Callithrix jacchus: one gene and its partner. The protein of the gene in region 1 interacts with the protein of each later gene in a biochemical or structural test. Links are inferred from orthologs where the notes say so. Each region holds a gene or a part of one and is shown on either strand. Other genes may lie near its edges.

The links.
Region 2: the proteins of DYRK1A (region 1) and DCAF7 form a complex in vitro, tested with the Homo sapiens proteins (2 studies listed by BioGRID). The link is inferred for Callithrix jacchus from reciprocal best matches to the Homo sapiens genes DYRK1A and DCAF7.

The regions. Positions count from the first base shown.
Region 1 is NC_133522.1:43,454,652-43,458,171, reverse strand, and holds part of DYRK1A (dual specificity tyrosine-phosphorylation-regulated kinase 1A), read right to left. Parts: intron 2,348-3,520; coding exon 2,061-2,347; intron 1-2,060. UniProt on the Homo sapiens protein: Dual-specificity kinase which possesses both serine/threonine and tyrosine kinase activities. Exhibits a substrate preference for proline at position P+1 and arginine at position P-3.
Region 2 is NC_133506.1:88,856,303-88,859,822, reverse strand, and holds part of DCAF7 (DDB1- and CUL4-associated factor 7), read right to left. Parts: intron 2,118-3,520; coding exon 1,959-2,117; intron 1,257-1,958; coding exon 1,145-1,256; intron 731-1,144; coding exon 612-730; intron 1-611. UniProt on the Homo sapiens protein: Involved in craniofacial development. Acts upstream of the EDN1 pathway and is required for formation of the upper jaw equivalent, the palatoquadrate. The activity required for EDN1 pathway function differs between the first and second arches.

The sequences.
Region 1 (3,520 bases):
TCTGCTGTCTCGCAGATAAATTCCAGAGACAATGCCACATAAAGATTCAAGTAACAGCTGTCTCTGATCAATAGCTTCCTCTCTCTCCACCTCCATCCAAGACTTCTTAGAGAAAGACAATCCTGAAATGGACTATTTTCAATGAAGTAATGCAAGGACGTCTTCAGAGACCAATTTGTTTCACTTATCAAAAGGGAGAAAGAAATAAAATCCTCCTAATGAAATTTCCTAACTTATACCCTAACCATGCAGCCAGAAAGCTCATGAAGTTTTCTGTGGCTCCCACTGAAACCTCCAGCCAAGTCATCAAGAACAATCTCAGGCCTACACAGGCAGGTCAATCAACCTTTAGGAACTGTAAGAAGAAAGTCTAACTTAAAGAACTGGGAAGAGGTACTACACTTCTGAGTTTTTTATAAGCCAATAACCATTGCTATTCCCTAGGCCCAAAGACTCACCACCACTCCTGAGACTTGTATTTCACAGCTTATGCCAAAAACTCTGTCACATCCCTATCTAACTTGTTTAAAGCAGTTAGATTCCAAAACACACTGGCCCTACCACCTTCTGATTCTAATCCAGTAGATCCACAGGTGGGGCCACTGCATGCCTATTTTAGACATAACTTCCCATGTGATTCCAATGAATCTGAATAGTTGAAAATTTATTATAGGGATAACTGGCTCATTTTGACTAGACAGAAATAATAATGTTTAATATTAGGACAAAATATACAATTTGGCTTAAATAGGGGGAAAATGCCCCAACTCTAAAATCTATTCAAATTACTCGCAAGATGGGCATTTTTCATTCACAATATACGCTATCCCATATTAACTACAAGCATCTCTTGATTTTTTGAAGGCATCTAAAACTGCAAACTTTGCTTCCTACTCCAATTTTTAAAAATTACTTCAACAGTCAATAGCATCACCACCATAAGAGAAGCTGCAGAAAGTAACAAAAAGACAGTCCTACTGGCTAAACAGATTAAATTAATGTTACAGTTAAAACTTGGACAAAAGTAGGACAGTACAGAAAATTTCAATAATTTGGAAAAATAAGAAACAGAAAAGTCACTATAAAAAATTAACATCTGTATGTTAGTTGGGTTTTCCTTTAAAACAAAAGAAATATAGTTTCAACACTTTCAAGCAAAAGGAACAGTGTTAAAAATCAGTAAAATATTATCAAATGATGGTAGCAATCCCTTTAAAGAGGAGACACCTGTAACTTCTATTTGATATATGAAACAATACTGTTAGAGTAGTTTTCATACTGCTGTTAAGAATGATAGGAAAAACTGCTTTCCTAAATCAGCTAAACATACTATCATCGCTACGAATACATCTGTTTCTAGCAGTCTAAAAAAAATCACTTTAGATGTGGTAGAATTTATGTAAATTTTTAATAGTGGAGAAAATAAGACAAATTTATTTATCAAAACAAGTCTATCAACTAAATTTTCTGTGCTTTAGTAGCATGACTAATCAAAATTACCTGCATTTTTCTGAACCATCAGTTTTTGAGGAAAAAGATTTATCTTGATAAATCTTTAGAGAAATATTTTACAGCAAGGATTCAATGTTCCAGTACTGAAAAGTCCCAAAACTTACACTAAAACCTTTACTTGGGAAAGTTACAAATCCCCTAATATTTAATCATTCCATGTCCTATTCTCTTCCCTTCATCTTTTAGCATACATATTTTAAATACATAATTATTTTAAATATACCTATTTCAAAAAAAATCAATGTCTTTTGAGTCAAAGTATTGCTATTTGCATTTTAAAAGGTATTTCTCCAAAACAGGTATCAACATAATTAACTGCTACATTTTAAAGATAAATAACCATCCTGTAATTGTCTCTAAATGGTATACACCTCATTAACATTTCAAATATCTATTAGGTAGGAGCAAAAATAATTTCGGTTTTTTCCATTTAAAAAGTAATGCCATTAAAAGTAATGGCACAAACCACAATTACTTTTGCACCAACCTAATACCTACACTGTTCTACTTACTTCTATTTAATTCACAGGTTCTGAAATAATACTTACCCTCTGCCCCAATTGACAAGAACTGCCAAAGTCAACGATCTTGATTGCACTGCGTTTGGGGTTACAAAGAAGGATATTTTCAGGTTTTAGGTCACAGTGAATGATACTAAGTTCTGGAGTCGCAAGGAAAAGCAGTGCAGTGCACATCTGCTGCGCAAACTTTCGTGTTAGATTCAAAGAGACCCCTCGGAAATTGGTGTTTCTCAACAAATCATAGAGGTTGTAGGACAGCATTTCAAAAACTAAACAGAGATGGTTTCGAAACATAAAGTGGCGTTTCAAATGCACTGAAAGAGAAAAGAGTTTCATTTTAAATTATATATACCAATAAAATGAGAGTAACATACACACGGACTCTCAAATGACCTAGAGCATTAGCACAACGTCAAATGCAGAGTCAAACGTTAAAGTCTGGAGATCAGCATTTTGCAGTAATAGCAGTTTTGAATCAGTTAAGAATATCTAAGTTGCTCTTCTGCTGAATTAAACAGATACAGTGTCTGTCAGTAAGTGAGATACAGGGTAAGTACTACCAAAATGCCTTGTTTCTTTAAAAAGTCAGATCTGAAAACACAAGTAGCAAACGAACAAACAGTAGTAAGACTATTTCAGCAATTTTATCTTCATTTATAAAAGAAAGTACTTTTTCCTTCCTGAGAGTCCTACCTCACAGCTTCCTATGTCTAAACTCCACCTACTCAGATCTCTGATTTGTGACAATGCTGTACTTGGCAGCCCTCTGTGTAGGCTTTGAAATTTATCTGTGCTGCAGAACTTTAGATTTCACTAGTAATTTTGTCACAATTTTTGATGATAGCTTTTTTGTTACCCTTTAGGTAAATACAACAAATGTTTGAAAATCATGCTTTAGTAAAAGTATTGGAGTGCTTAACTGTGTTCATCAAATTGGTAAATGAGAACTCTTGGGTGAGACTGAAGGTTTGAAAAACTTCAAAATAAATCTCAACAACAAGAAGAGATGATAAGAAGGCTTGTGAGTGGTGAAACAGCATAGAATACATAGATCGCTATCACTGTTGACCTCTAAAAAGGCTGAATACTCACTAAATTGCTTCAAACATTGTGCTTTAAGTATTGACACTGACTTCACATCAGATGAGGTTATTCGATAAAGTGCTGTCCCTGACTGTTAACAGTCTTACATATACCAAACTGAGCACCTGTTACACAACTGCAATGACATAAACACCCATCCTGTCAAGGTTACTTTCATTTTGTCTTTTAGTATTACAAAATGAGAGGTTTCGCTACAGATCTATCTAGAATAAACTGAAAGTAATCAATGTGTGATCACTAACTGTGGATACATTGTGTTTTCCTGGTAGTACTCCTGGGCTTTCTGTCTCAAAGCAGTGAACATCAGTACCGTTTTTAGATCTTTAATGATATAGGTGATCTCAAGTTAGAGTTAATTAACACAATAAAAATAATCACATAGT
Region 2 (3,520 bases), on another chromosome or scaffold:
TCCAGCCTGGGTGACAAGAGCAAAACTCCATCTCAAAAAAAAAAAAATGCAATCACAAATAGCTCTCCTCAGTTTTCCCAATGAACACAGAAACATCACCATCAAAGGAAAATATATTCCATTGCCAACAGTAATAAAAGTATAAAGATTAAGTGAACATACTAGAACTTCATAAAACATTTATAGAGAAAAATGGATAATTAGGTTTGTCTCTCAGAAAATTTTTTCTCTTCCTGTCTCCCTTCCTTTCTCCCCAAATCTAATCTGTTTCAAGGTAAGTAATACCCTAAGGTTATTTTTTTAATCACATCAGTTCCCAATTCCTCTACAAGAGACTTTATTATTTTAAAAAAGCATCTCTGGCATGAACCATGACAGACCTTAAAATAAGTCATTTACATTAGCCAAAAAAATAAGTCATTTACATTAGCCAAATTACAATAGTGTTGTCTTCCCGTTTTTGACGCATTACTATTGTCAATTTATATAAGAAGATGTTGTGTTACGATTTTCTACATAAAGTGCAGAACAATGAGAAAACAATCTGACCTCTTCCTGTGCTAAAGGCACAGGAAGCATTTGAGGAAAGACAAATGGAAAAGCATCATTACCTCTTTGTCATGGGCGATCAGCTGGGTCTTCACGTGGCCAGACACAAGATTCACTCGCCCTAACACCTGCCCTGTCTCCAGCCCCCAGATGGTGCACGTCGTATCAATGCTTGAGGTACCTGCAAACAACCAGTGCGAGTCAGGGCTAAGAGGAGCAAGGTTCTCAGGCAAGCTTCCCTCCTGTGTCTACTCATCGCTAGGCCCAGAAAGCAACATACCATAAAGACTACAGAATACAATGTGGGGGGTACCTGCAGAGCCACAGAGTCAAATACTCAATCCTCACTGTAGGATCATAGATTCTAAGTGGAGAATTCAATCCTCACCATAGGACCTTAGATTCTAAGTGGAGAGACAAGAGCTACACACATGTAAAGCTCGCCCACATGGAAGGAGTTAATACATAACCACATTCTACACCAAGCCTACTTCTCACTTGGCCTTGTTGTAGGATGATACAAGGACCAGTGTGACATCTGAGAAAATGTATTTTGGCTTCTTCCAGCTGAAATACTACTCCCTAACTCTCTTACCTAAAAGATAAGGATCCACCTCATTCCAGTCAAAGGAGGTCAGGGGAGCACAGAAATCAGAGTTCTTATTATTGTTTAGCAAACACTCCAGCCTGGTCTCTGTTTCACCAACCTGAAGGAACAAGAAATTTTTTTTAATTAGCCAGTCTTATCCTCATAAAAAGTCTTTTTAAAAATCCCTGTTTAGAGAATATCCTAACAAACATATAACGTGAGGGAAAACATTTTTATCAAAAACAGTAACAAACCCAGGACTCCCTGAATGCTACTTTTCCCCATACTTTCTCCTCTGCCCAGCTTTGTTTTCTACATTTTCATCCCTGCATCTTCCTAGGGGAGAGGTCTTCTCACCTTGCCCAACCTGGAATCTCTGCACACGTGGACTAAGGCCGCACTCATGCTACAGAGAACGCTGCTGCTGCTGAGCTCAGGTGAGGGCGGAGGGAATCCTCCAAAATCCACTCACACATTTCATCAGAATCGATGCCCTGGTATTTGTTACTTTACTCAAAAACATCTTGGCTGCAAACAGAATATGAGTTCCCAAGTATTCCCACCTCCACCGAAGGCTGTCATTGTCACATTGGGTTGACTGAACTGACTGCAGTCAGCAGCCAGACTTCATGGACTCTTGACTTGATTTACTAGAAAATCTGCTGAGCCAAACAAGGTCAGTCTACTCAGGCTTCGCTTATTTCTCCCGTGCAGCAATGACACTCGATGCCTCCCACTGGTCTGTTCTGTGACTCCTCACTGCTAACAGCTGAGGCTGAGAAAGCCCACTTGTCTGGCTGCTAATAAAGCATCCGCTTACCCTCCACACACGGAGATAGTCGCCGCTTGTTGCCAGTAGGTCTGGATAGACGCCTTTTGTGTCAGGGATCCACATGAGCTTTGTGGTGGGATATGGGTGGTCAAAGGTGTTTCTGCAAATAAACTCCGAACTCTCTTCATCTAAACCAACAAGCTGAACCTGTAACATGCCAAAGTTGAGACATATAAGCATTTGTGAGCAGTATAGCAAATACATTAAATCCCTGGTAAGTGACAGTCTTTTTTTTTTTTTCCGAGACGGAGTTTCGCTCTTGTTACCCAGGCTGGAGTACAATGGTGCAGTCTTGGCTCATCGCAACCTCCACCTCCTGGGTTCAGGCAATTCTCCTGTCTCAGCCTCCTGAGTAACTGGGATTATAGGCACGTGCCACCATGCCCAGCTAATTTTTTGTATTTTTAGTAGAGACGGAGTTTCATCATGTGGACCAGGATGGTCTCGTTCTCTTGACCTCGTGATCCACCCGCCTCGGCCTCCCAAAGTGCTGGGATTACAGGCTTGAGCCACCGTGCCCGGCCCAGTCTTTTTTTTTTTTAAGACAAGTTCTTCCTCTGTTGCCCAGGCTGGAGTGCAGTGGTGCGACCACAACTCAATGCCGCCTCCATCTGCCAGACTCAAGTGATCCTTTCACCTCAGCCTCTGAAGTAGCTGGGATTAGAGACATGCACCACCATGCACAGCTAATTTTGTTCATGTTTTGTAGAGACAAGGTCTCACATGTTGCCCAGGCTGGTCTTGAACTCCTGGGCTCAAGTGATCCTCCCACCTCAGCCTCCCAAAGTGCTGGGATTACAGACATGAGCCACCGTGCCTAGCCAGTGACATGAGTCTTGACACTATTATACTAAACTGCAGAATCAAAAATGATTGCCTTGAGAGGGCATCTAGTCCAACCATCCCCTGGCAGACAAGGAGGCCCAGACTCAAAGGGGTGGTTACACTCAACACTACAAAGCCAGTAGGAGACAGAGACAAGATTTGATTACAGGTTTTCTGACTCAAATCCTGCATTCTTGACTCCAACTACGTAAGTGCACTATCTGCCAAGCCAACTACACCTTTCCCTGAAACCCCTGAGGTCTTTGAAAATGAATAGGGATGGTTTTGGCTGCCGAAATGACTTAAGTGCTGAGGATATTTGGTGCTCAGGGGCCAGAAATATGAAATACCCCATGCAATTTCATTAAACAAACTAATGCTCACTTAAAAATCCAATGGTACATAACTGTCACCAACTCCAAACTCAACAATGGCTCATTATGTTTACACATAAAGGTATGTCGAATGACCGCTCAAGAGCCCAAACCACTGTGACAGGAAAAAAAGTAGGCACCATTGATGAGAAAGTCCCACCTAGTTCTGATCACTTTTTCTTAGAGTCAATTTTAGCTCACCATTAACTTCTAGTCTTTACTGTCAAACTCAACCTGGCTCAAAGGGAAATTTGTTTATGAACATTTGTTTATGTACATTTGTTATGTAACATGTTATGTACATTTGTTTATGAACTTCCAACTGGAAGATGGAATGGTGAGTGTATTTGG